4 linked regions of the Coturnix japonica genome follow. The main gene of each other region encodes a partner of the protein of the gene in region 3 in a complex. Links are inferred from orthologs where the notes say so. Each region holds a gene or a part of one and is shown on either strand. Other genes may lie near its edges.

Region 1 (8,163 bases), on a different chromosome or scaffold from region 3:
TCCAGCAAGAATAACGTGGAAAAATGTTTGAGTTTTCTTTTGGAAACAAAATATTAGTCTTGGCTTAGCAAGAGAGACAATACACTCCACTTGTGAAATATGTAATTCATATCAAAAATGTCACAACGAGCTGACAAGTAATGCTTCCTTACAGCTAGGAGCCGGTCTGACAATAGCCAGGTAGAGAACAGTTTCTTCACTGAGTATTTGAAACACAATGGCAAAATAACAGAGATGGCACCATTTGTAAGGTTGAAATGAGATCACTTCACTGGTTGTTAAGGAAACAGCCCATGTTTTCAGTATTGTGCTGTTCATTATTATTATCTTTTTTTTAAGTGAGTTATTATAATATGTCAGGATCCTGAGAGCCTTTAGTAAAGCACAAGGTGAGAAAAAATCTCATTCCCAAATCCACACATTAAACCTTCAAAGTAGTACAGAAAGGCTAATTCACAAAATATTTGACATGACATTAAATAAACCTGTTTTACACACCCCAATTGTTACGTATCTTATGCATACAGAGTACAGGTACCTGTATCTGAAGGCCGAAGGGAATCTGTATCACATGTGAAAAAGTTCTGATGATCTTGAGCAGACAAATTCATGTCATAGTAGGTAAGAGGCTCTTTCCCAGTCACCCACATGTATCTTAAACAGGAGAAATGTCAGTAAAATGGTAATGCTGATGCCAAAGAAGATATCTGAAGTGTTTAACAACAAGTAGTGCAGAAATGTTATGTTAATAAAAGTCAGGAGCTGATCAGGAGTTTTCTTAACAGGTTGCACAAGGAAAAAAAACCTTTCTGATCCTGCAGTCCTAATCAACTTCCTTCTCAAGAAACAAACACAGAGGGTTACAATACAGCTGCATCTTCTCAGAGGAGAGACTTAAGATTCAGAATCACTGTCTCAATCTCTGAATAAAACATTAACAGCTGTAAGACCAGGACTTTCATAGAGAAGAGGAAAATAATTCCAGGAATATTTTTCTCCTACTTTACTCTCAAAAAAAAAAAAAAAAAAGATATTTACAATAATATTTGCATTCTTAACATTAAGACTGTCAAAGCTTGGATAGGTGCCTTTTAAACACAGGACTGGCATCAATCACCCTTGTAACCTTGCAGGGCTCGGCCGTTTCCCAGTACAACCAGTACAAGCTCTGCAGTGAAGCCATGTGTAGGCTCCCAGTTAATACTAACAACATGCAATGGAAAGTAAAACAGTTAATACCTGCTATATTCTGCCCCTCTGAAAAGATTAAGAGGATTTCGCCACATCTTGCATTCTGAAAAAGAAGTATTTTTTGAGTTAAGAGCACAAACAACATTGCTTTGTGTTTCATATGCAGTTATGAAAACGCTACTTTAATTTTAAAAGCCAATTTAATTTATATTTATCCAACTGGATCTAAAGTTACTGAAACAGTTTTAGCTGAACGTGTAATCTATTTCCTAAGGGAATAAATAATGCTTTAGATCAATTAACTCACTGTGTCATTATTAACATCATAGGATGTAGGCCATTCTCCAGTCATTACAAGCAATAGCACAGGGCAAAATCCCTCAAATCATTTGAAAGCTTCAAGCTGAATGCAAACTGTAGGGATGTGTTAGCAATCACCTGGCATGTTCTGCCTGTTCGCCTCATTCTCTCCAGCTGAGAATGCTGCTGGTGCTGGAGGGTTGTTTTCCACGCCGCCAATGAGTGGCCTCAGGTGACTCACAGATACCTGCTCAATGAAGGATGTGCCATATTTTCGGAAGTGCCACCATTCAAATACCTGTTATGGGAAAGAAAGCACTCAACATTTCCTTAGGCAACAACACCCTTCCGATATAAACACCAGGGATGGAGAGAAAACCGCACAGAGAAAGGACATCCCCTTGCAAATGATTCCAGACAGAATATATACCTAAAAATCAATGGTAATTATCTATTTCAGGATTGTCTTGTCACACAGGATTACCCAACATGGAAAAGATGGAAAAAAAGGAAAGTTTTACTCTCATTATGTTCCTCTCTCCCCAGGTCTTATTGTTACACTATGGACAATAACATATTAATACCTCAATACATGCACAAAGCACCAAAATACAACTGTAGGAAGCTAAACTATCTACTTTCCAAGATAGAAACAGTAGTTTCTTTCCACTGCTGTCTTTGCATGTATATTTTAAAATGTTTATATATTTATGCATGTATTCACATGTGTATACAAATAGACACACACCTCCTCAAAACAACCCTTCAAACAGATGCAATCTACTTTCCCTAAGCCTGGGCAACACACAAGTTAAAAAGTATATAGAATACATATGGAAGGATACTAAGTAACGAGCTCCTTCCTAGTGCAAAGGCACCCTCTAGAGTCTGACTGAAGAAGTCAGTTCCATTGAAGGTGAATGGCATAATCTCGGAGGTGCTGAAAAGGCAGGGAATAAAAGGGAAACAAAAAAGAAGAGCTGCCTACTTACAAATATCAGTCCGGATATAAAGGATGAGGTCACTGTGAGGGCAAAGTAGAATTTTGGAGTCAAAGTGCTTAAGAACACAGTCACTGTTGGGAGACAGAAAAACCAAGACTTAATGAGCAGAACTGAAAGACACAAAAAGGGGTTTTATTGAACAGCATTGCCTAAAAATCACACATATATGGTGTGAGATTATCTTTGGGGCTTCAATGGATAATAGTGCTTTATTAGAGCTGTTTTTGCCTGGATGTATTGCTGTGACAGCTCACTACTTACACAACCATCAAAATATGACCATCACATAACAACCTCCTGACGGCACCGGGCACCAACGCGTCCTTTTAGGGCCTTATTCCATCTTAACTTAAACCCATGATGCAAGATACTGCCCTGATCTCCATCAAGGCCCTCGAGGAAACGCAGTTCTCACCCTACAATCACCGAGGGTTCACCACAGCCCGAGGACAGCACAGTAATGGGGGACAAGGCCCGGGGGGGACAAGGCCCGGCCTGGAGGCCTCGAATCTACACCGCCCCGTTCCCCCCCCCCGCCTCACCGGCCGCCAGGCCGTCCCGTAGCCGCAGCGGCACCCGCAGCGCCAGGTAGAAGAGCCCGAGCCCGGCGGCCACAGCCAACATCCCACGGGCCCACGGAGCCGCCGCCCGCCGCCTCAGCTGCTCCCAGCGCCGCAGCGCCGCGGCCACCCCGGGACATGGCGGCTCCATCCCGGTACCGCAGCCGTCCGCCATGATTAGCGCGGGGGATGCCGGGAAGGGGAAGCTCCTTAAACTTCGCCCATCTCTAAGATGGCAGCAACGTAGCGTCTACCCGCAACCAACATGGCGGCGAATGAGCTTCCGGTCTAACCCAAACGGGATTCCCGGCATGCTCCGCGCGGGGCCGGGCCCTGAGCTGCCAAGATGGCCGACTTCGAGGAGCGGGTGTCGGACGAGGAGAAGGTAGGGAGCGGCCGACCCCGACCCGAGGACCCCATGCTGCCTCTAGGGCCGGCCCCACAGCGGGCAGGGGCTGCCCTTCGGCTCCTCCCTTTCCCCGGGTTCATTCAGTTTGATCCCCGTTCCGTTCCCACACTCCCTTATCCCGCATCGCTTTGGTGCGGAGCTGAGGGGATGGGATGTGGAGAGAAAGGTTCATATTGAAAAGAGGAGAAAAATAGATTGTTCTTCTGGCTTATAAATGTGGGAAAATTACCGTCTGAGTTGCCACAAAGGAAAAGCTGGCAGCCTATGGCCATTTCTTTCCCACAGCTGCAATGCCTTGTATCGTTAAACTGTTGCATTTGGGGTTTTTTTTGCGTTGTTTCATGGAATTCTGCTCTGGGATGTCAACATTCGGGGATCCTGTGAGCACGGAGTCGCTTTTCTTTTCTCCTTTTCCTCCCTGGTTGTGCTTAATGTCAGCAGCTTTATGGTGAAGGAGGCTGGCAGGGCCTTACGGATCCATTGGGCCATCAGTGTGTTAGATCCCAGCAGCACTGAAACCAATAGAGCAGAATTCACCTGGAAATTAAATCCCTCCAGTGCTGTATCAAATCTTTGACCTGCTGTCATTCGGCTGCTACCATGGAAATCATTGCATTTGAAATGAAAATGGGCCCTTTTTCCTCTTTCCTCTATATTCTATGGCTCTTTCACAGCACTTTCAGATGGATGCATCCTGCACCGCCTGTGCCCCAGCATTTCATTTGTCCAAGCAGATAGAATTGCACTTGAAACTGGAACCTTTGTTTGACTTCATGTCCCAGCACAGGCAGGTTGGAATCAGTCTAAGTAGCTCCATGGTGGAAAACGATAATGAATTCTAAGAAACGTACAGCAGAGCTTTATTACGCCACCTGTTTAATAAAGAAACCAACAATTAAACAAATGATAAAATTCACTTGTGCCCTCATACATCCCAACCCTATAAGCCTTGAGGAAAGCCAGTGCTCAGGAATCATGTCTGCTGCAGTGATGGGCAGCTTCTCTATCAGCAGCTCTCCCCATTTTGGAAAGAGGAAGTCAGTGTCGTTTGCTTGCTGCAGAGCTACCTGAAATGGCAGCGATGGGCAGGAAATGGGGCAGCTTGCAGAAAACCTTATTTTAATGCTTCTGCAAAAGAACTTCCTGCCACTGTGCTGACAGTGCACTGAAACAAACCAGCCCTAAAAACGATAAGTAATAGTGATTTGAATGCATGGCGTTTAGGATTAAGTTCTCTATTGTCTGCTTCTTTCGCTCTGCTCCTGATTTCAATGGTTTGATTTAAATGCTTTTTATTTTATTGCTCCACAACTGAATCGATGCGAGGGCTGCTTTAAACCACTGAGTGGTTTTCTGTGGCATGAGCTCCAAGTACTGTATCTGCAAATGCTTCAGTGCATTGTTACACCTGTACCAATGCTTACACTTGCGCTTCCTTAGAAAAGGACATTGTATCATTTCCAGAGTATTTCAGCCCTTCAGGGCTGTCAGTGAAATCCACAGAGGATACAGAACAGAAGCATCCCTCTTAATTACTGCTGGGTTATCTTCGTCACCATCCGAGCTTCCAACAGCGAAGCCTAACAAGGTTGTGAAGCAGTACATCCTAATTACAGTTCTTTGGACAGTGAAAAGCTCCACACAATAAGAACGACATTGTTAGGATTATAATATCTTTATCAGCCTTATTTAAAAGCAGGAAATCATGAGAAAATGGTTTTACATTTTTCCTAATATAAACTATACAAGTTACCAACTCAAGTCAACAAAATCCAGTGTAAGTTTTTCACTTGTACTGTACAATAACTTCATGCATAAAGAATGTACAACTTTCAAAATAGATTCTAATTTGGAAAGCAATCTGTTTTTATCTGAAGCTCTGCCCAATTAAGGCAGAGCAGTTACTTGATACTGTTGGAATAAGGCAATTTACCCTTTGTTTGGAAAGGTGTGAGTTTTCATTCATGGCTTGCTTTAAATGTGACAATTGATACAACTATTTCCAATTAAAACATGGCAGACAGGAGAGAAACAAAGTGTTTTTCCAGCTGTGGCAGCTGAAATTACTGAATTACTCCAAAATTCTAATAATCCCAGAGTTGTGTGAGATTTTGGGTTACAGTGAAGTTGTTTTATTTTTCAGAAGGAAACTGCTTTTGTTTTTACAGCCTCAGAGTTTACAGATATTTGGGTATTTTCCTTCCAGTTGACCTTTTCTCTTATTTATTGTAACACAGTTCCAGATGCCTTCATTCTTTCCTTACAGTGACGACTCATGGCTGGACTGTGCTGCAGTTTCCAATAAAAGACTATTGCAGGATAAGGGAAGGAGTAATGAACCAGAGAAGAGTGGCCAGTAAACCTTGAGAAAACATGCCAGAAAAGCTGGTACACTGCATGGAGCAGATCCAGTTCTTTTTGTTAACTACAGACTCCAAAGAGACAATAACTCTTGAAATCATAGCTTGACATCGATAACAAGAAACCAGGACATCCTGTAATGAATCCCTATTCAGCTCCTGACAAAGTCAGCAACAAATCCATAAGTCAGGGTGAAGTTAAACAGGTTTCCTACACTGTTTCTGGATAGGTTTAGGATATAACAGTTTGAGTACATACATTTAATGTCCTTGCACAGGACATCATGCTAAATGTTTGTGTAGTGGATACACAGATACACACTTGCAACTCTGTACAGAGAAGTAAACAGTACTGGGAAGGCTGAACATTTTCACAGTCACCCATGTGGAATTTGCTCTTCTTGCTACTTTTTGCACTAAAAAACAGTATCTAGCCTTATGGGACTGATGGTTTCCACTTTGAAAACACACACCTGGATTTCTCCCTGACTCTGATAATGAGTATTATCATCAGATTTGGGGGTTTTGTTTAATTGCTTCAGAGTAGGTTGCAATATGCCTGCATTCAGCAAATGGTTTTTGTCTTAACAGGTGCGTATAGCTGCAAAGTTCATCACTCATGCCCCTCCTGGAGAATTCAATGAAGTATTCAATGGTAAGTAAAGAAAAGCCATCAGTAACATTTTATCCACACCTCATCCGAGAGGCTGTGGCTGTCATAAGTTGCTTTTAAGGTCAAGTAGAAGTTGGGAAAAGCATGCTGCCATTCTGTGACTACTTACCCTTAATAAAATGAATTTAATCAGCAATGTTTATGTTTGTACAGTTGTAAAATAGAGAAACATTTGATCAAAAAACCCAATAACTTACATGTTCTCTTCTCCAGATGTCCGGTTATTGCTTAACAACGACAATCTTCTCAGGGAAGGAGCAGCACAGTAAGTATTCATGTTTCAAGCATAAAGACTATGCCTCTCTGTGGTGGTAATTTGACTTACACCCATCATCTTGGAACAAAGGAAGCCATTTGTTTCATTGAGAGCAGTCTGCTGTAGTTCCTTATCCCCCACCGAAATATATAATGAAAGGCATGGCTGGTTCTTTTTAAAAGGCTTAAATTGGAATTTGTGGTGTAGAGGCCGTACATAACAGACAGGAAGGCACTCTGCCAAAAAGGCTAATTCTGCAGCAGCAAGAATGGCTGATCTTGTTGAAATGCGATTTGGTGAGCAAGTGAAGCCTGAAATTCTGAGCAGTCCTCAGCCAGAGCATAAAATAAAAGCTGCCTTCAAAAACTGCTTTCAGAACATCTTGTTTACTTGCACAGTCACATCAGAAGGTGTCTACATGCTATGCATAAAGGGCTTCTGATGTTTTATTTAGATCTGTGTGACACATCCGTCAGCAGGTCTTGACAGAAGAAAATTGTTGTAAACATTAGTCTACTCATATTTGTTTACCTTGCTGCCTGTTTTGCATCAGCTTGCTCATTTTCCCTCAGGCTCCCTTCTGTTCTACTTTTGAACTCTGTACTTTCATGATCACTGAATAAGCCTGGCTTTAGACCCAGATTATTACAGCTATCAATGTGTGGATTATTTGCAAGTTGCAATTTTCCCTGTAGTATGAGTCATACCATGTGCTTATTACTAAAAGAATATGAATATACGTACAGCTAAATTTCATGCTCTTAATTCTTAACAGCGCATTTGCACAGTATAACATGGATCAATTCACTCCGGTGAAGATAGAAGGGTATGATGATCAGGTAAGGAAAAGCTTTACACTCAAGATTTCTGTTACTGCACAGAAGCAATATCTATTTTATCAGGATCTCTATGATTTTCTTTCTACATGCAAATTATCATCTTTTCTTCTTCCCCCACATCATCCCTGCATTACCAAATTGTTGTTCTTGTGTAAGAGGCAGAGGCAAAATCTTTCCTTAGAGCATTGTCTGTTACTACATGGTGACTAATTCATTGTTAGGTAAAGCTTCACACTGAAGTCATTGGAATTCCAGATCAAGTGTGAATGATTAAAGATTACTTTAACTCCCTACATTACTGCATGCTCACAGTTCCTACTGGTGAATTCTCAGTGTTACTTTTTCCTGTGGTCTCACGTTTATAGCAGCATAAGAGCATTTTGATTTTTGTTTCTTATTTTTCAGGTCTTAATCACAGAACACGGCGATCTGGGCAATGGCAGATTTTTAGATCCAAGAAACAAAATCTCTTTCAAGTTCGATCACTTAAGGAAAGAAGCTGGCGACCCTCAACCTGAGGACACAGAATCAGCTTTAAAACAATGGAGAGATGCCTGCGACACTGCACTGA
Region 2 (8,004 bases), on a different chromosome or scaffold from region 3:
ACAGCAAAAAAATGTCTACTCTAAATATCAAGCCTGTCATCCAGACAATTGTGACATGCACAGTCATAAACATAAAATACAATGCAAAATTTCAATAAATATTATAGTTGTGAAACTTAATGCTGCAACAATCTTATAAACGTCACTGAAAAAGCCTAAATATCCTCAGACTTCCACAGATGGTGAAGGGCTACTGAGCCATTCTCTTGAATACCTGCTGCAACCTAAAAGATTGTGTTAGCCAAGGAAGGAGCTCAGTCTAAAGTTTGCACTAGAGCTAGACTGCATTATAGCTTTCTTCCCTACATGACTTTAAGCATTTAATGTAAGGATTTACCATTCAACTCTTCTCGAATAAACCTATTTGCTTTAACTGTTAAGATACTGTAAGGTAAAAAGAGAGAACTGGGAGGTTTGCAAAGACCAAATACTGCTCAGAGTCAATACCGAAATAAATGACAAAAGCAGAACAGCAATGTACTTGATTAGTAGCTCTACGGTGTCTGATAAAATTAAATAGACTCAATGGCTGCTTTTCTATTTTATTTTAAATTGCCCTTCTCTCCTTGCATCAGTAAACCACACACTGCTCATCAGACAGACCAGGCGGCCCGGAGTGAGCTCCAATGTGGGATTAGAAATTCACTTAAACTTGGGTTGGCTTGTTAGCAATTGGATGTTTCACTTTACTGCATGTAACTGCAGTGCAAATTAACCTTTGATCGATGTGTAGAGACAGTGGCACATAAAAAAGCTATGTAGATGAACTTCATGGCATAATAAGAGCTACCGGTTGGAAACTGAATTTGTACAAATTAAAACAGCAAGTGAGGAAATATAACTTCAGATAAGATGCAGATAAATTCCAAACTAACTCAGGCATCACTGCTTTATACTGCAGTCACCCCCCGAGGAGATATTTTCTAAGTCACTTCTTAATCTTGGCATCCTTAAGCTTCCCATCCTGCAGTTCGCTCTGCATCTTCAGGAATATTTTTAGTTCTCCTTCCTTTAAACTCCCCATGAAGTATCCATATTCTTCCTGAAAAGACACAAAACCACTTCAAAACACTGAGTCATAAGGCAAGAGCAGCACTTATTTCCACATTATCCTGATTATTCACTTCCCATTAAGTCCTAAGGTCACAGTAAAGCACCTGCCAGTGTAATGCACAGAAGGTTCCCACTAATATCTGTGATGACTCAACAGTCCTCCCCTGAATCATTCCCCTCACCATGGTAAAATTCTGCAAATGTTAAGAAAAAAAAACCTTGCTTAAACACAGTAAAACCAGCAGCTAGATATCACATCTTAGGAGAAAATCAGCCATGTTTATATGCCCAGATCTACCTCCTTGAGTGATCCTCTTTTTACATTTTAAGTAAAGCTGTTTCCTTGGCAATACCCCAGTAGGTGGCAAATCCTAAGGCTTGTTGGAAATCAACACAGACTTCCCCAGCTGGTTTATTTTAAGACTCTTGGATAGAAATTATCAATTCCTGTTGCATGAAACTGAATGCTACGCAATGCATTCCATGCTACAGACCATTAACTGCAGTTGTTGACTCCAAATAACAAGTATGAGATGCTCCCAAACCAAACTATGTCAGGACATACCTTTCTCGTTCTACGCTTCACTGCTTTGCCTCTAGCAAGGACCTCATCACATACAAGGTTTGTTTGTTGTTTATTTTGTTCCCAACAGGAACAAAACTACCTTTGTCCAGCATGGCTACAGATATTTAAAACGTCTCTTCAGCTTTTCTGAATCAGACAAGTTGCCCAAATTGTACATTCATTGACTTTTTCATTTTCATCCTTTGTTTCTATATCGATTTTCAGGGCATTGTAATTTTCCAGTGCTCGCTTGACCTGCAAAAACCACTTGTACAATATTGCTTTCTTTTATTTAAATACAACAGTCCCTCTAGGGCATCTAGAATGCTACAGGTACTGGGAATATTTTGTTGTGCTGCATGTGACAGTATTAAGCAATTTTATATGGCTGCTGTTGCAACAGAGACGGATGAGCCTCAGAGCGTACCAAGATCTTTTGCTAGAAGGTGACTATATCATACCACTAATTATGATCTACTAAGATCTATCTTGATGCGTGTGAAGCTCCAAATTGTCATTTTGTTTCCTAGTGTTAATCCAACTGAAAGATGTACCCAATAAAATAACGTGATGTGTGGATTCACTTAAGGGTTGTCATGTTTTATTATGCAGAATGAGGATTTCCGTGTTATTTCAGCTGCACGTGCTATTGTACCACCGAGGAAACTGGCACCCCTATTAATGAAATGGTGCTCAGTCGTTTTATTCAGCCTTTACCACAGCATTTCACACAACCCAAGCAGCAGAACTTGGTTTCCCTAATGCATCATTTCCCATTTTTCCTCTGGTTTTCACCAAGTTAGAGGAAGGATATCTCACAAACATCATCTGACTCCTCTCAGCCTTCGGTTTCGTTTTTCACCACAGCATTTCAGCTCCCACCTCTCTGAGCCCAGAGCTCAGCCAGCCCCGCCATGAGGGGACCTGAGCAGCGTCCCACAGGAGGTGAGGAGCACTCCCAGCCAGCGCCAGCTCTTCCCCCACCCCCTGGTCTCCCGGTCTTTGCCATAAGCAGACACTGAACTCCACATCCTCACAACACACACCAGCTCCACCACCTCCTCCCTATCCCCGCGCGCTCCGTGTGGTACACGCACACACCGCCCACCCTTCCCTCAGCCGGTGCCCGCCCCCGCATGGCGCATGCGCAGACGCGGCTCAGCCTTGGGGCGGGGGTGCCCTTCCTGCACGCGAGGGCGGAGCTGCGGGGCGCCGGACGGCAAGATGGCGGACCTGGAGGAGCAGCTCTCGGATGAGGAGAAGGTAGGGGCGGGCGGGGTGGGGATGCTGCTCCCGGCCGCCGAACCCCCCCCTTCCCCGGTTCTCTGAGTCGGCGGGTCGCGGCACCGTCGCCGTTTGGGGCCGCCCCTGCGGCTCGGCCTGTCAGTCGGGGGCCGGAGGAGGGTCCGCGGGCGGGCAGGGGGCAGGGCCGGCCCGGGGCAGCTCCCGCCGCTCCTTGTAGGGCCGGGATCCTGTGTCCGCTGGAGGCGGCGGCGGCCGGGGAGAGAAAAGGCTCCTCCGGCTCTTCCTCCATCTCCGCTTCCCCTTTCACGGGCCTCCTGCTCTCCCCAGGGATGGGGCCGTGCCTCGGCCTGGCCCCCGAGCCGGCGTGCCCTAGAGGAGGAAGGGTGTGGGGTGAGGAAGGCTTTTTCGTTTCCTGTTAGCAGCAGCGGGGGAAGGCTGAGCTCAGGGATCAGACCCCAGGGTCTGTGTGCGTGATCGCTGCTTGTGGCCCTGGGAACTCATCCGGCTTCAAGCAGGTTTTCACAAGGCATCTCTCAAGAAGCAGCGTGTGTTACAATGCCTCCGTTAGCAGCACTCCCTGCCTTCCCCTCGGACCCAGCTCCATGGTAGCTGCCTGCCCAGAGCTGGGGTGTGGTTTTCCGTGTGCTCGGCTCATGTCTTCACATAGAGCGGTTTTATGCTTTTCTGTACTAAAAAACAAAGCAGGTTGTTGTGGCAGCGGAAGCTTTGGGATGATTTAAATGTTGGAGACATCAGAAAAATAAATGCTCCAGACTTCTCTGAAGTTAGAAGAAGGATGTCCAGAATGTCTTAGGTGGTTACAATGAGGTCGATTCTCTGTACTTTTCAAGATTGACAGGGCTGTGTTTCAGAGCTGGAGAGGCGCTGGTGGGCTAAGATGTGGATCTCTAATTTCTGTTCCTAGCCACAGGTTTTGAGACTGGTCCTCTATCTGGTTCACATTCACGTGTGTTAGATGTGGCAGTCTGTAATTGTATTCATTCTACAACATACAAGTAGCTTTAATCCACTGTGCCCTTGACAGAGTATATGCCTGGACATGCTGAGTCTGCAAGTGAAGATCCCAGGGCTGGAGGATGGCTCAGGTTCGCAGGCCCAAGCAGGGAACCCACAATCACATCCAGGCTGCTTCTGAATATCCCAAAGGAGGAGCAGCCTGTGCCAGCACTCAGCCACCCACAGAGCTCAGAAATGCTTCATTCCTCGTGCCAGACAGAACTTCCTGTTTCAGTTTGTTCTTATTGCCTCTTGTCCTGTCAAATAACGTAAGATACAGTGACACTTTCTTCTTAGCTCTCTATGAGCTGAGAAGCACTGCCTGTACTCAAGTGACCGATGAAGTTAAGTTCTGAACTTCCTTTTGTCCATTAATTACAGTATTTCTTTTTGTCTCCAAATGGGTGCAGACTTTCTGGAGGCTTCTTCTGCCTTTGTATAATTGAATAAAGTCAGCATTTTTCCATTGCAGATTAAATTCATTCCTCTGCCCATGTCTGTCCTCTATAACACTGATCATTCTACACGATTGAAGTTTTCCAAGCCTGGCTGCGTGTTTATTGGCAATAAAACAGAGATGAATAATGCTGCAGGCTCATGGATAGGCAAATAAGTGACCGTGCTGATCCTGTGATACCTCCAGGTTTTTATTTGTCACAGAAGAGGCATGTGGGTTAGTTTTCGTGAGTCTGAACCACTTTGAAAGTTTGTCAGTGTTATGTATGTGTATATATATGCTTCTCTGTGTAACTTTCTCCTGTTATACGAAACAAATGGCATCAAAGACTGACATAAACAATGTTAATGCTATAGGAAATTTTGATGGAGATGTAGCTATAGTGAGGGATTAAGTGATAGCACAGGTTATGAATTGTACTTGGTTTGTGGCTACCTCTGTGTGTGGGCAGGAACTGTAAGTGCTGCAAGGGCAGTAAAAAGTGCTTAGTTCAGGTAAGGGAGCTCTAAAACCAAGGAAGGAGAAGAGCAACTGCAAGGAAACATCACTTTAATGTGCAGGATGGTGTATCATAGGATCGTTCGAGTTGGAAAGGACCTTTAAAGGCCATCTAGTCCAACTCTCCTGCAGTGAACAGGGACACATACAGCTGGATCAGGTTGCTCAGAGCCCCGTCCAGCCTGGCCTTGAGTGTCTCCAGAGACAGCACCTACCTCCTCTCTGGGCAGCCTGTTGTGGTCCCTCACCACTCTCATTATAAAAAAACTGTTCTTATATCTAGTCCAAATCTCATATTTTTTAAGCTTGAAACCATTTCCTGTTGTTTTGTCACAGCAGACCCTGCTAAAGAGTCTGTCTCTTTCTTTCTTATAGTCCCTTTTCAGACACTGAAAGGCCGCTCTCAGGTCTCCCCAGAGCCTTCTCTTCTCCAGGCTGAACTGCCCCAGCTCTCTCAGCCTGTCGTCAAAGGGGAGCTGCTTCATCCCATGGGTCACCAGGGACTGCCCGGTACTACAGACAGCTTCTTTGAGATACAGTGGGTTTGTGGTGTTCTGTAGGTCACTGAAAATGAGGAACATCTCAGTTAGGTGGAAAAAAGAAAATATTATGCTTATGTTTCAGTCTGTAAATCAAAATGAGATGTGAGAGGTAGAAATATTGGAATACAGAACTTTTAAGGGAGGAAGTAATGGAAAATCATCACTTTCCTTCACTTCGGAGGTAATTTATCCTCTGAATAAGTCTTGAATACAAAAGCTATTTATTTATCCAACATATTTGTAGTAGATTTTATGCTTAATAACCACTTTTAGCAGTGTAGTTGTGTTTCAGTTCCTGTACGAATCATTCTGCCTGTGGCCATGAAAAACTGATAAGCAAATATAAAAATGTTTTGTTTTTTTTCTATGAGCTTATTAGCGTGCATCTAAGAATTGCACTTTATTTACATGAATATAAGCAGTGATCAACGGAAGGTATTGTCTTCATTGCAGATGTATTTGTTAATGTAAATACTTGTTAATAAATAGCAGCACACACAAAGCAGGGCTGCAACTGTTTGAATCCTAGGGATGTTTATAAATACCTGAGGTGTGGGAGCCATAGTGGTGAGGCTGGTCTCTTTTCAGTAGTGCATGGGGACAGGACTAGGGGTAATGGGATGAAACTACAGCATAGGAAATTCCGCACGAATGTGCGCAAGAACTTCTTTACGGTGAGGGTGATGGAGCACTGGAACAGGCTGCCCAGGGAGGTGGTGGAGTCTCCTTCTCTGGAGATATTCAAGACCCAGCTGGACGCCTACCTGTGTGACCTGGTGTAGGGAGCCTGCTTTGGCAGGGGGGTTGGACTCGAAGATCTCTAGAGGTCCCTTCCAACCCCTATAATTCTGTGATTCTGTGATGTTCTGTAGTCAGTGCCTTTTGCTGACTCACCATGATGTGTTTGCTGTAGGGTTTTTTTTTTGTCCTTTTTCCTTTTGCAATGTAAACCCTTCTCACTACAAAGCACAGGAGTTAAATAGCCGTGGAGGCAGGCTGAGGAAACAGAGATGTCTTTAGTGAAGAAAGAAGAGAGCATTGATAGGAAATTAGAGAACATAACGTGGTATTTTTTAATGCAAAAGCAGCTCGCTTTCCTTACAGTGCTGAGCATAAAAGTCCATGTATTGTCAAAGGTATCAGAAAGGAACCCCGCCTCTTTCAGTAAGGTTATGCCTCAGTGCACTCCTACTTGTTCAGGGAGGCGTATTGAGTAAGGTGGAGTTGAGCAGTTGGCCAACTGGCTGGAGGGATAACAAGACTTCTGATGAGGAAATAGTCCCATCTGTGAAAGTGAACTTGCTTTGCTACCACATATTCCCTGGTGCATTAGGTAACTTGACAGCTTATTGAACTAGGCGTGAACAGCTAGAAAGCTACTGAATATGGCAGCAAAACTCTGCAGTGGAATTTAGAGTGGTTAAGGAAAACTCATTTCTTTAGTAAATGCTTAGAAATGAAAAGTTTAAGCCAGTAAAATGCATTGTCTCGTGTCAAGGCTTTGTATCACAGTATCACACACAGTTTCACAGTCTCGTGCGGGTTGGAAGGGATCTTAGAGATCATCGAGTCCAACCCCCGGATTCGAGCCTCCTGTGTAGCAGAGCAGCATGTATGTTGGCAGCAGAGCTCCCTGTGCAGGAGGAAACCCACCCACGAACTTAGAAGCATCAGTAGGGCTTTTTGTACTGATAGTTATTCTTTTAAAAGTAATTAAATGTCGATGTTTAGTAAGTCAGTTTGTGCTCTTAATCATTTGTTTTGGAAGGGTCTGAAATCTTAACTTCTGGAATTGCCCCAAATGAGACTTGGAGACTATAGGAAATGAGGGTCAGAACATTTTGGAGTAGAAGTAAGATTTTAATAGTCAGTTGTGAATATAATTGCGCAATAATCCATAACTGAAGGTGATGCTGATGAAGGTATTCTAACTCTTTTCCTTTCTGGTTCATGAAATATATGCCTTGCAGTATGTTTAAAGATGTAGCCTTGCTAAGCTTTTCTTGCAGGGGAACCTTGTGAGCCTTCCCTCCCATTCTTGAAGTTCTGAATGGAGCTGGGAGTGCTGTACCATGTTCCTATGGCTGATTGAAAATCCTTTAATAATTAAATGTGAAAAACACTCAAACAGTGAGTGAATTAGTCTGCGTGTTTAAGTTATCACATTATGGAAACAGTCCCAGTGTCAAAGTTGATATTTTTCCATAAGTGAAACGGAACAGACGTTTTGCAGAGGGAGCTGCAGTCAAAGCTGTAATCATTTTATCTTAGGAAAATGTTGAAAAAATGATCATATACTGTATATATAACTGCAAATAATCACAGAATTGTAGGGGTTGGAAGGGACCTCTAGAGATCATCGAGTCCAACCCCCCTGCCAAAGCAGGCTCCCTACACCATGTCACACAGGTAGGCATCCAGGCGGGTCTTGAATATCTCCAGAGAAGGAGACTCCACCACCTCCCTGGGCAGCCTGTTCCAGTGCTCCGTCACCCTCACCGTAAAGTAGTTCTTGTGCACATTCATGCGGAACTTCCTATGCTGAAAGCATAACTTGATTTATTTGTGGAGTGGCTCAAGCTGGAAGAAGCTTCTGGAGGTATCCCAAATGCTGCATCGGCCAAGCA
Region 3 (8,165 bases):
TCCCTGCTGTACATTTCTATTATTCATGTAAGTATAAGCTAATATGGCTACACAAACATATTTGAATCTCCTATGCTTGCACAGGGTTCAATGAGAGCCCTGCCCGTCCCGTACCACCCGTTCTCACTAGGGAGAGCTGTGGTGCTGCTGCTCACGGCTTCAATGGCTGGCGCTGATTGAAGCGCACATAGGAGCGCTGTATTTGGGGCGTTGTAGCCATGTTTTGTTTTGGTCTGGGGAAACAATTGAGGAAAGCAGAACGATGTTCCTGGGAGGAGCTTCTCACAGGGATCTCTGCTTCCCTGTAACTGCCGAAACCTTGAGTTAATTTCCAGCACTATTTGCCAAAAGGCAGCGATGGTGGGTGAACCGCTTGAGTTTCTTGTCTTTATAGGATCGATCTGCCGCAGGCATCGCACTCATTATGCAACTTGGGCATTGCTTTATACAAGCCCACTCCATCTTCTTTCTCCACTGACTGCTATGGGCACCAGCCTGACTCCCAGTGTTCGCTGCTGCTTCCTGATTCTGGAGGTGGTTTCAGGCTGCCTGCCAGGATCCTATCCCATCTCTCCTGCGCTCAAAGGAGCACAGTGGCACGCAGAGCTATGGAGCCTGCAGAACCCTGTTCCCAGTGTGCTGCCCTGCAGAGGCAGGAGCGTTTATTTCCCGTCCTACTCACATTCCTCTGCCCTCACGGGTTTTTTCTCCCAGTTCAATGACCGCCAGCCTTTGTCTCGTGGTCTGGCAGAGCCTGGTGCCACGCACAGCAGGGACACAATGGCACACACTGCCTCTTCTCTCTGGGCCTGCTATGAAGACCTCACATTGTGTTAAACTAGGGAGAGAGAAAAGCAGAGGCCTGGAGCATTGTGCTCAGCTTTGGGCTATGTAAAACCCTCTGTTTCTCCAAAAATATCAGTCCAAAGTCTTAGCAAGAAAGCAGTGACCTGAGGAAAGTTTCCCTGAGGTCACAGTCTTCATTAAAAGGCCAGGACCATGAATTTTAAGATGAAAGAATTGGCGGCACGTTGCACATCGCTGACATGTTCAGAAATGCACCAGCTCCCAGCCTAGCACAGTCTGACACTTCACCTCCTCACAGGCCTCAAGGATTACTCACAACATTGGGCTGGAGTCAGGGGTGGGGTGTAGACTGATTCACACTGGCCAAGGACCCTGTACAAGGAACAAGGCAGAAACCTGGAGCTGCCCATTTGCAGAGGTGGGACATGGCCAAGGCTGAAGGCGCACATCTAACCCTGATAACAGGCAGGTTTCCAGCTTGGGTTGCATGGCAGTGTCACGCCATGCATGCTGTCATCCTTTACACCTCAATGGCCACGGCCCCTCCCTCACTACCCACAGCACCATCCAACATCCAATGCTGAATGGTAACCACAAGAATTTACGGCCAGCACTGTGGGCTTTTTGTCCTGAACTTTGCTCCATCTGATTTACACAAGTGTCACCCTGCAGCACAAAGGAACCCGGATCGCCCTGAAAGTCAACAGGAGGAAACTTTATTGCCAGACCCAAAGTAGAAGGCACCAAACACCCACTGACCTCGTGCATCAGACAACAGAAGCCAGTGTAGCATCTCTGTGCCACGCACGTCTTTCCAGCACAGGTTTGTGCAGTGGCTGTGAAGGAACCTGCCCGTGCCCCCTTTCCGTGCCTGGACCCGCTGTGCCGGACCCACCCTGGCCCTGACCGCCGGGATCAGGAGCTGGTGGAAGGAGCCACCACCCATTGCCAGCGCCCGGCGAGGGCTGCAGACCTTTGTGCGCAGTGCTGGGTGCGCCGTGTGTCTGCTGGGCATCCCCATGATGATGGCACCGTAAAGCCATCGGCGTGTTTATGAGGCAGCCGTGCCCGTCGGGTGTCAGGGTCCCGTATAAATACGGGGTGCCCGAGGCCGGCCCGGACAGCCCGTGTGCCGCGTGAGGACGCCGCCGGTCCCGCCGTGCTGTCCGTGCGGTCGGTTGTGCAGGTGCTGAGCGGCAGCGGCCGGCGGGGTGGGAGGCAGCAGGGCCGGCTCTTCGGTGGAGCCACGCGGCCCCGAGGCCGTGGGCCCGGCACGGGGCTCGGCTGTTCCTCGCCGCCCCGAGGGGCTGCGTGAGGCCGGGGTCGGGTTCTTTGCATCAGCGAGGGAAACCACGAGCCGGGGTGGTGCCGGGACTGCAGAGGGGAGGGCGGCTGCAGCTGGGACCCCCGGGAGGGTCGGGGTGGCCACGGGGACGTGTGTGGGACAGGCGGTGCCGTCCGTGCGGGGCCACACGTGGGCTGGAGCCCTGGGGCCACGGGGACGCCCGGCACGAGGGTCGCGCACGGCAGGCAGCGCTGACAGCGCGGTGCTTCCTTCCGTTGCAGCTCGGGGCCGTGAGAAGATGTCATCCCCACACCCAGGTGAGCGCCCGTGGGAAGGGCTCGGGCGGCCCTGGGGGTGCCCGCGCTGCCAGGCCGCTCCGTGCCCACGTCCCCTCCCGCTGCCCGCAAGCCCGGCCGCGCCCGGGTCCAGGAGCCTCCCACGGCGGCCGGGGCACTGCAGCTGCAGCAGAGCCGCGTGGCCGCCCCGCAGCCCTGACGCTCCCCTCTTCCTGCAGGGCCACACGGAGGGCCGCCGCCGCCACATCCCGGGCCTGGGCACCCACCTGCACCGCACGGCCCTCCCGGGCATCATCACCCGCCCGGCCATCATCCTCCCGGCCATCATCCGCCCGAGCATCACCCGCCCGAGCATCATCCTCCCGGCCATCACCCGCCCGGGCACCACCCGCCGGGCCCCCACCCCCACGGCCACCCCCACTAGGCGCTGAGCTCTGGCGGCAGCCGCCCCCGGCCCGGCTCCTTCTGCGTCCATCGGCCGCCCCATCGCCGCGCTGCCGCCGGGCTCTCCCTCCGGCCACGCGCGGCGGCAGCTGTGCCGGCAGCAGAAGCTCGGGCTCGGGTTGAGGTGCGCAATAAAAGTCCGCTCGGTGCCTCTGCGCTCGCTGTGTTTGGCGGACGGTCTCCGCGCCGCGTGCCGGCCCCACGTGCAGCAGATGAGCGCAGCGCAGGGCAGCGCCGCCGCTCGTCCGGGCGCGGGGAGACGGACGGAGCGACGGGGTTCGGGCTCCCGGCACACGGCCCGCCCCTCCGCGAGGCTCTGCGAGGGCACGGTCCGCCACGGGCGCCGTCGCCTCGGTTGTAGGCGCGGAACGGAGCGGCCGCGCAGCCCCTGCGCCGTGCGGAGCCCCCGGGCCGCGGGTGGGAGCGTCGCGCAGCTCCGCTGCTGCTCGTCGGCTCCGTGCGGGCAGAGCTGCGGCACGGCCACGCTCCGGCACCGCGCTGCTCAGTGCACGGGGTCTGCTTCCCCGCACTATTCACAACGGCCGCCTCCTGTAGCAGCCCCCACGGCCGCCGTGGGTCGGCTGGGCGCCGATGCGCGTCCGTGTGCCACTGCGCACAGCCCAGCCCGCTGTCGGGACGGCCCGGCCTCCCTTTGCCATTGGTCCCGGGCGCTGCGGCACGGGTGAAGCTCCACGCCCACGGGCATAAGAAGGCGGTCAGCCGCTGGGATGCAGCCGCAGCGTTGAGCATCGCCAAGGGAGGTGAGAAGGAATGGGGCTCTGGGTGGGGTGGGGGAGCAGCCGACGGGCGGGCTGGTTGGCTGGTTCGCCATGGTTCTCTGCCATTCCGGAGCTGAGATCTTTGCTCACCGCAGAGGCCGGTGCAGAGCTGAGTTAACCAATGGCAGACATTTACCCCTGCGGTATGTATTTAACGAGGACCGGACACCAAACCGTTGCGTTTTTTAAGCCCAGTGTAAATGCATTGAGCAGCTTCTGGGAAGGTGGATTTGCATCCCTCCCTGTCGGGTTATTTTTGTACGGATATCTGTGGAATCTGCAGGAATAGCTGAAATTATTGGTAGTCCTGCACCAGGTCAGATGTGCGAGGAAGGCAGGCAGAGGAGTTGCCCTTGTTTCTTTCTATTTGCAACTATCAAAATCGAATCCTCATGCCCTCCCGACTGTTCATTTGGAAGTGGGCCTGCAGGCAAGAAGGGCAGAGGTGTGGGCACCTGAAATAAAAGGGAAAGCAAAGCCTTTCTGAAATGCATCCCCCCACCCTTACCTGCTCCTGTCCCCAACTTGCCAAGGAAAGCAACGGGTTGACCAGTAGGAATAAAAGAGTTGGGTGAGGTGACAATATGCGTGATTAAACGGGTGCTCCATCAGCTGAGAATGTGGCACAAGGACACTGTCCAGTTCCTGCCGCACTTTGATAGTGGTTTGAGCCATCTGAAAGTGGGCTTCCTTCCCATGGGGAGCGCCAGGCAGCAGCACTGAGATGCAGCCCAGCCACGGTGAGACCTGGGGGAGGTCCAGCAGATCCAAGGCAGCTCTGAGCCAGAGCTGGAGCCCCATCCTGGGCACAGACCAGTGCTCTGTGCTTCCCGCAGCCCATTTCTGCTATGCAGGTTTCCCAAAGGGGACTGGCAACACAAGCTTAGCAAATGACCCTGTCCCAGCTGACAGCCAGCTCAGCACATATGGGAAACGCAAGAAGCCTCCAGGATTTTGCCACCCATCTCCTTCCAGTTTTCTCTCCCACGCTCTGCACACTCCTGTTGGTTCCAGGGAATGCACCTGTCCCACTGCCACCACTCCCTGTGTTGCAGCTCACCTGGAGCACTCAGAGCCAAGGCCCCTTAGAACCACAGATCCTGGGATCTTCTCTGAAGTGAGAGCCACTGGCAGAGCTTGCCTGTGCTGCTGTTGGGTGGGGGGTTGCAGCAGGGCTCTGATGCATCACTGCAGCCTAACCCTGCTGATGTGCCCGTCGCCTCCCTCTGATCTCAGGACTGTGCTGTGACCATGTCTGAGCTGGAGAAGGCCATGATTGCCATCATTGATGCTTTCCACCAGTACTCCGGGAAGGAAGGAGACAAGCATAAGCTGAAGAAATCGGAGCTGAAGGAGCTCATTAACAATGAATTAACTCATTTCCTTGGTGTGAGTATTGCCCTCTACATAGCACAGCTGGGCTCAGGCTCCAGCTCCCCAGGAGCAGGTGGTGGCAGGACAAAGCCTGTGTCAGGGCTGGAGGCTTGGGCTGGACACTAGGGAGATTTCATTCCCTGGGACGGTTTATCACCCTGTTTATCACCCTTACCCTGTGGGGCTCAAGGTGCCCTGGTAGGGCTGCTGTTAAGCAGATGCTACTACATCCATTTCTGCCCTTTCAGGAGATCAAAGACCAGGAGACCGTGGACAAAGTCATGGAGGCACTGGACAGTGATGGGGATGCAGAGTGTGACTTCCAGGAGTTCGTGGCCTTCATTGCCATGGTTACCTCTGCTTGCCATGAGTTCTTTGAGCACGAGTGAGCTGGTGAGAAGCAGCTGAGCAGCTCCCACTCACACTGGAGAGATGCAGAGCGGTACCACTCCTCTTGGGAGAAGACTGGATGCACCTGGGGGCTCCATGAAGTTAAGCTTGCGCTACTTAAGCAGCTTATTAAACTCTGCAGCTTTGTGAGCAGAAATGCCCATGCATCTTGGGAAAGCCTCTTAGACAGCGCCCACCTGGGATGGCATGTGTTCGAATGCCACATCTCAGGCTCACTCCCTGCTGCTGTGTGCAAGGGACAGGCAGCGGGCTGGAAGCAGGTGGCCGCTGCAATCCTTTAGGTTGCTGGCAAAGGGAAAAGGAAAATTCAAGGGGTGAGGCAGGGCGTGATGCAGAGAGGCTGGTTATAGAGGCCTGGCTCTGAGCCCATTGGCCTACACAGAAAGACTCTGTGATCTCTGTGGGCTCTGACTGCCCCACGCATGCTACTAACCCTGGAGCAGAGCCCATGCAGTCCTTGGCAACTTGAGAAACTCCTGGCTTGAAAGGCAAAGCATAACCATGTAACAGCCCAGGCTTTTCTCCTGCCTATGAATCCTCCTGCTTATAGCTGTCCGCAGAACTGGAAATGAAAGCATAGGAGGCTCCTGGGCTGGGCCTGAGGTGCACATTGGCAAGCTCTCAAGGCTCAGCCTGAAGGAAGGGTGAAATCCATATGTTATCAGCTGCAGCTCCAGAGTATGTGGAAACAATGAGAATAAAATGTTGGTCTTTGGGCCATAATGCGGTTCTGGTGAAAAATGAATCCTTTTGTCTCCGGGCTTTGTACACTTTGTGGCTGCTTTGAGTTGTCAAAGGTTGAGGATACAGCCTCGGAGCACCGCTGAAGTTCACATAGGCAGCCAGTTCATTTACCTGGGGTTCTCTTTCAGCTCCCATCACCTATCAGTCTGCAATTGCCATCTTGTGCTCCACCAATAACTGAAAAGGAGGTTTTGCTATCCTAAGGTAGTGCACATCCAAGTTACTTATTACGTTTCTGACATCCTCATCACTTGTCCACCACTGGTACAGACTGTACAGACCTGAGGACGTGTAAGGACAATGAATGAGGACTGATCAGACAGGGCACCAGCAGATAGTTTCTTCATATTAAATGCTCTGTTGAAATAAGAACTACTTGCCAGCAATACTACAAGTGAAGTAAAAGGAGAAAATATGGCAGCAGGGAGCTGAAATGTTTAACAGACTCAGACTTTAAACACTGGAGAAATGACAGCCAGGGGCAGCTTTGGTGCACACGCCCTATATTATGGTCCCACGCCACAGCCTTATTTCTATATTGGAGGATTTGAAGGCTGGACTAATCACTGGATTTATCCAGTGTGGATAAATCCATCCATCCAGAATTGGATGGTCATAGCAAGAGAGCTGTTGTCAACAGCTCTTTGTCTACATGATGGCCAGTCACAAATGGTGTACCCCAGAGGTTGGGCTTGAGATCAGTGCTCTCCTCCAGTGGGAGGACAGTTGGACTAGATGATCTTGTAGGTCCCTTCCAACCCTATGATTCTATGATAAGAACACACTGAAATCAGCTCTGTGGAGAACTTGAGGGTTCTGGAGGATGAAAAGCTAGACATGAGCCAGCAGTGTGTGCTTGCAGCCCAGAAGACCAACTGTATGCTGGGCTGCATCAACAGAGGGGTGGCAGCAGGGAGAGGGAGGTGATTGTTCCTTCTTCTCTGCCCTTAAGGGCCCCATCTGGAGTACAGTGTCCAAACCTGGGGTCTTCAGCAAGGATGTGGAGCAGGTCCAGAGGAGGGCCATGAAGATGATCAGAAGGCTGGAGCACCTCTCCTATAAAGAAAGGTTGAGGGAACTGGACTTGTTCAGCCTGGAGAAGAGAAGGCTGGGGAGACTTCATCTTGGCCTTCCAGTACTTGAAGATAATGTGCAAACAGGAGGGAGGACCAACGTTTTACATGATCTGACAGCAACAGGAGAAGTGGAGGTGACATAGTGATAGGAGAAGGGGGATGGCTTTAAACTAAAAGAGAGATTTAAGTTAGATGTTTGGAAGACATTTTTTACTCAGATAGTGGTGAGGCACTGGAATAGGTTGCCCAGAGTGACTGTGGATGCCCCATCCCTGGAGGCATTCAAGACCAGACTGGGAGGCATTCTGGGCAGCCCGATGTGGTTAGTGGCTGGCAACCCTGCCCGTGATTGGAGCCAGATGATCTTTATGGTCCCCTCCAACCCAAGCCATTCTATCATTCTATGAAATCTGCACTTTATCTCTCATCCCAGATAATGATAGGCACAGCACATCTGTGTAAAAGGGAACCCTCTCTGACAAGACACAAAATCACCAGCACTGAAAGAACACGCTTCTTCTACACAGGTGCAAATCTTACTGGGAGCTGCTAGCATATCTAGAAGAAAATATCCTTCGTCTTGCTAATGGAGGAAGAAGCATTCAGGAAGATTTCACATACTCAGAGCACAAAAACTAACCTACATAACAGACTTAAAATCAAAAATACTTCCCCCCCCCCCCCCCCCCCTCACACAAATATCAAATGTGGACTTTCACAGCCCTCAGAGAAGGATGGTGTAAAGCAATCATGCACACAAAGCACTGGATCACATCTCCTGTATGTTTAATAGTTCACATTGCAAGCTGCAGCACAGTCTTCTCTCCTAAAGGACATGGAAGCATATTCCTGCTCCCTCTGTACATTAAGCTGAAAAATACACTTCAGAAGAAAGTGTCAGCATTTCAGAGGGTGATCTGACTTCACTTCATTCCCTCTAACAGATGTT
Region 4 (4,028 bases), on a different chromosome or scaffold from region 3:
TCTCATTTTGTTCTCCTCCCTCATACTCCTCTACGCATTCCCAGTTGGTTTGCATGCAGAGTAGCTGGAAATCCAGAACAGGAGCTGCATTTTGCAAACAAACATAGAAGGTAAGCGGGATGCCAGCACTGACATCATCGTGTTATCGATGCCATTTAAAACAGGTTGCAATCTGCAGCAGCTGGAGGAGGGATGCAAGCAAACGGCACACCATGTACCAAACAATAAGGGTAAATTATGGACAGCTTCGGAGCTGAATGAATAACTCTCCGCAAGATCTGCTTCAGCTTGCTCCAACGGTAAGTGACATCAGTTTAATTGGCCTCATTTAGCACCAGCCTGGTGGATCTGTGTTATTTAATGCCTTCATCTGCAACTCAGTGCTTGCAGCACAGAGGGGTGCTCCAAGCACAGACAGCAGTGCTGGGCTCACATACTTTCACCGTGGGAATTTCTTACATCGGATTCCTGCACGTGTGAACAAGATGGGCCTAGTAATGGCTCACAGATCAGTTCTGAGAGCTGTGAGGATGGAGTGGAGTTTCTCAGCCTGCTGTGCTCTGTTCTACTTCAGCTTTCTTCACCTTCACCGCCTCTGATCAGCTCACGGCATTCGGGCCTCACAGGGATGGCTTCACGGGACAGAGTGCAGCAGCAGAGCTGTGTGCTGTGCTTTCCCTTGGGCTCATTAAATGATATTTCAGCCACACCTTGATGAAGTCAGCCCTTAGCAATGCACCCTTTGACGTGGTTATTTGTTTTTGTTTTTTTAATAACAAATCGTTTTAAAGAGGTTGAAAACGTGGTACTTTGGATTTCAGTAAAAGCAAGAAGACAACTCCTCCTGCACGAGAAACCCGGCAAACCCAAACAGTGCCGCATGTGTTCTGAGCAGCTGTGCTCACAGTACCTTTCCTCCGAGCATCCACCGAGGCAAAGCGGGGAGGGGTTCGTTACCCGTATTCGAGGAGAGCACCGCGATCAGCCACTCATCTCCAACCGAAGAATCCAAAGGTGTGCGTGGATATACACACGATCCTTCATTCACGTCGCTGCCTGAAGGAAAAGCGCAGGGCGGGGGTGGGTCAGGAAGGGCTTAAGGAAAGGCTCCGCACCGCAGTGGGCTGCCCAGGGCAGCGAGCGCAGCCGAGCGACGGTTCCCCGAGACCAGCTCGGAGCCGCCCCGGAGCCGGGAGGAGCCGCGCCGCCCCCCGCCCCGCCCCGCCGCTCCCGGCCCGGCTCGGGCAGCCGGTGCCCAGCGCGGGGCACGGAGCCGAGCGTTGCCGCGCCCTGCGGGGCTGCTCGCCGGCAGGATGCCGCTCGCACAGCTGGCCGAGCCCTGGCCCAACATGGAGCTGGTGCAGCTGGATACGGAGGTGAGCGGGGTGAGACGGGCGGCGACCCCCAGGGGTCTCGCGGAACAAAGGAGAGCCCGGCCGGCCTGCTCCTTTTCTTCCTTCCCTCCCTTCCTTCCCTCCCTCCCTCCGCTCTTGCCCCGCTGCTCCAACTGAGCCCCGCGGGGTTGGGAAGCGCGGCGGATCGCTGGGAGCTGCCGGCTGCGCTGCTTTCCTTCGGCTCCTCGGTACGAGCTGTGAACGCGAGCACGGCTCTGCTCTGGGAGCTTCCCCCGCCCGCCTCAGCGCTGCCCAGCCGCCGTCCTGCGTCTGTCCGCTGGATGTTGTGCGCTTCGCTCTTAACGAGCCCCCCCAGCCCAGGTGTGCGCTGCCCGCACCGCGCTTCGCACCGCAGCCGCCGCAGCACGTCGGCACCGCTCGCAACCTTTTCCTCGCTGTGGTGCAGCCGAGGTGTGAGCACAAACGGCTCCTCAGCCCGGCTGCAGCTCGCGGCTTTCGGGATGGGTTCGTGCGGGTTTTGTCCCGCTTCGCTCGCTCCCTGCCGCTCTCCCGTTTTAGACCTTCTGCCTCTTACCCCTCCTATCGTGCCGAGGGATGTCACAGTGGTTAACTGGTCAGTTTCGTTTATTCCTACTTAAAATTATCTCTTAAGGAAGCTCTGCTGGGAACGGAGGCCAGGTTGCCCAGCTGTCACAGCCAGATGTGAGGGGTGGGCGGCTGCGCCTCGTGCTGTGCACTCACCTCTGCTTGGGGTGTGGGGATGTGCCTGTGTCCTTCGGGGACTGGGTCGTGGTCCTGAGGCCATAACGTGCTCAGGGAAAGCTGGGTGTGATGGGGGGATGCGATTTGTCTGGAAAACAAACTTGGAGTGGGAGGAAACTAATGCTGGTGCCTGGGGCGATAGATGCCATGGGCAGGATTGGTGTGTCACTTAATCCTGGGGATTCGGGTGCTGGGTGGCAGCTGTGCCAACACCACAAACGTCTCCCCTGGCTGGAAGCAGCCACGGGGGCACCACATTCATCAGCCAAAGTCCCTCAGGAAGATTGTGGCAGCAGCGAGGGCTCCTCTCCCCATTGCATTAGTTGTGGATGTGTACTCTGTAAACTGCAGCTGCAGGCTGCCTTTCCCAGCTCTCCTTGGCAGGGCTGGAGGTTGGCGGCAGGGCTGGGAGCAGAGTGCTGGTGCTGGAAGGCACTTGACACCTCAGCACTGTGCCAGGTGGGACACCAGCAGCTCTGCTCCCTCGGGCTTCAGGTGAGCGATGTGCTCGGTAGCATGGGCACTCTGCACCTCTGGGCGCTGCTGCAGGCACCTGGAGCCGACAATCTGTGAATGGCAGAGAAGGACTTGGTGGAGTTTTGCACGCAGTGAGGTTCTGTTTGCCAGGGGCAGGAAGGTTCACCTTCTGTAGGGCAAGGTGGCACCAAAGAGAGAAACCAAAGAGACTTTTCTGGAATGCGTTACGTAAATCGCCTGGGATCGCTGCCATCGAGGTGTAAAGCCAGCTTCCTCCAACCTTTGCTTTCTGAGTCACGGAGCAGAGGTGCTGGCACTGTGCTGCGGAGGCACCCAACTCATTGTGTCAGGGGGTTTTTCCACTGCTCCCCAGGAGCAGCTGCTGAGCTGGTCACAGCCAGCACCCACTGTCTCAGAGCTGTGCTGAGGAAGCAGTGGGAGGGTGAGCTGTCCTGTGGACTGAGCTCGCTTCATCATGCTTCCTTCTGTTTACAAGGGTGGACAGTGATAGGACAAGGAGGAATGGTTTTAAACTAAGACGGGAGATTTAGGTTGGATCTTAGGAGGAAGTTTTTCCCCAAGAGGGTGGTGACACACTGGAACATGTTGCCCAAGGAGGCTGTGGATGCCCCATCTCTTCAGGCATTCAAGGCCAGGCTGGATGTGGCTCTGGGCAGCCTGGGCTGCTGGTTGGTGACCCTGCACACAGCAGGGGGTTGGAGCTGGATGAGCATTGTGGTCCTTTTCTACCCAGGCCATTCTATGATTTCATTCTATGATTTCATTTATTCCAGTTCTTTTATTTTTATTCCCTGCTCTATTTTTTTCTGCCTATTTGGAATGTTGCTTATGTGGTAGAAAAACCTGTGTGGGGCAGAGCACTAGAGATGGAGCAGAGCTGAATGACTGCATTGCCATAGTGATGGGAGCTGCCATCATGGCTGTGCATGCCTTTAAACTCTTGTTGTCATACACAAACACAGAGCAACACAGATGACATGAGATTACGACAAACCCAACCACTCCAAGCTAATTATTTTGGCCTGTGTGTGTGCATCTGCTCATCCCTTGTTGAGCAGAAGCTATTCAGGAGTAACTGTCTTTCTCTGTGTGCATTTCAGCTTAAAAGTGAAGACAGTGATGATCAAAGGGGAGGAAGCAGAGAGGTTTCTGTCCATGATACACTTTGAGCACTGTCTCCTCTTGCGTGGGGAACTCTGGAGGGAAGAGCTGGAGATGGTTGTTTTTGCAGAGTTCTGTCCTTTCCCCTGTGCCATGGGGTGATGTGTGTTGGCAGCACTGAGAGAAGCGCACAGCCCGCATGGTGCTGCCCGTCCTGACATTTGTCCTCCTTACGTATCAGAGCAGCGGTTCCCTGTTCTGTAAATTGCTCCTCCACATGCTTCAGATTAGGTGGAATTAAAGGGATTTAAA

What was found.
Region 1: the proteins of S100B (region 3) and CAPZA1 are in contact, whole or in part, in an NMR structure (PDB 1MQ1), measured with the Homo sapiens proteins. The link is inferred for Coturnix japonica from reciprocal best matches to the Homo sapiens genes S100B and CAPZA1. Residues at the interface, in NP_006263.1 of Homo sapiens: Glu46, Glu47, Lys49, Val53, Lys56, Val57, Thr60, Phe77, Met80, Val81, Ala84, Cys85, Glu87; in NP_006126.1 of Homo sapiens: Thr265, Arg266, Ile269, Asp270, Trp271, Asn272, Lys273, Ile274, Leu275.
Region 2: the proteins of S100B (region 3) and CAPZA2 are in contact, whole or in part, in a crystal structure (PDB 3RM1), measured with the Bos taurus proteins. The link is inferred for Coturnix japonica from reciprocal best matches to the Homo sapiens genes S100B and CAPZA2. Residues at the interface, in NP_001029727.1 of Bos taurus: Ile37, His43, Phe44, Leu45, Glu46, Ile48, Lys56, Val57, Thr60, Phe77, Met80, Ile81, Ala84, Cys85, Phe88; in NP_001013016.1 of Bos taurus: Thr267, Lys268, Ile269, Trp271, Ile274, Leu275.
Region 4: the proteins of S100B (region 3) and RPS6KA1 are in contact, whole or in part, in a crystal structure (PDB 5CSJ), measured with the Homo sapiens proteins. The link is inferred for Coturnix japonica from reciprocal best matches to the Homo sapiens genes S100B and RPS6KA1. Residues at the interface, in NP_006263.1 of Homo sapiens: Ser42, His43, Phe44, Leu45, Glu46, Ile48, Val53, Val57, Ala84; in NP_002944.2 of Homo sapiens: Ala697, Met698, Ala699, Ala700, Thr701, Ser703.

The regions. Positions count from the first base shown.
Region 1 is NC_029541.1:3,609,234-3,617,396, forward strand, and holds the start of CAPZA1 (F-actin-capping protein subunit alpha-1), read left to right. Parts: upstream 1-3,324; 5' UTR 3,325-3,401; coding exon 3,402-3,440; intron 3,441-6,415; coding exon 6,416-6,479; intron 6,480-6,710; coding exon 6,711-6,762; intron 6,763-7,528; coding exon 7,529-7,592; intron 7,593-7,997; coding exon 7,998-8,163. Other genes in the region: ST7L (suppressor of tumorigenicity 7 protein-like), read right to left, coding at 539-654, 1,240-1,294, 1,630-1,789, 2,484-2,566, 3,038-3,230. UniProt on the Homo sapiens protein: F-actin-capping proteins bind in a Ca(2+)-independent manner to the fast growing ends of actin filaments (barbed end) thereby blocking the exchange of subunits at these ends.
Region 2 is NC_029516.1:22,328,670-22,336,673, reverse strand, and holds the start of CAPZA2 (F-actin-capping protein subunit alpha-2), read left to right. Parts: upstream 1-2,753; 5' UTR 2,754-2,761; coding exon 2,762-2,881; intron 2,882-8,004. UniProt on the Homo sapiens protein: F-actin-capping proteins bind in a Ca(2+)-independent manner to the fast growing ends of actin filaments (barbed end) thereby blocking the exchange of subunits at these ends.
Region 3 is NC_029522.1:2,448,370-2,456,534, reverse strand, and holds S100B (protein S100-B), read left to right. Parts: upstream 1-3,168; 5' UTR 3,169-3,593; intron 3,594-4,847; 5' UTR 4,848-4,862; coding exon 4,863-5,000; intron 5,001-5,233; coding exon 5,234-5,374; 3' UTR 5,375-6,126; downstream 6,127-8,165. UniProt on the Homo sapiens protein: Small zinc- and- and calcium-binding protein that is highly expressed in astrocytes and constitutes one of the most abundant soluble proteins in brain.
Region 4 is NC_029538.1:170,207-174,234, reverse strand, and holds the start of RPS6KA1 (ribosomal protein S6 kinase alpha-1), read left to right. Parts: upstream 1-1,228; 5' UTR 1,229-1,313; coding exon 1,314-1,376; intron 1,377-4,028. UniProt on the Homo sapiens protein: Serine/threonine-protein kinase that acts downstream of ERK (MAPK1/ERK2 and MAPK3/ERK1) signaling and mediates mitogenic and stress-induced activation of the transcription factors CREB1, ETV1/ER81 and NR4A1/NUR77, regulates translation through RPS6 and EIF4B phosphorylation, and mediates cellular proliferation, survival, and differentiation by modulating mTOR signaling and repressing pro-apoptotic function of BAD and DAPK1.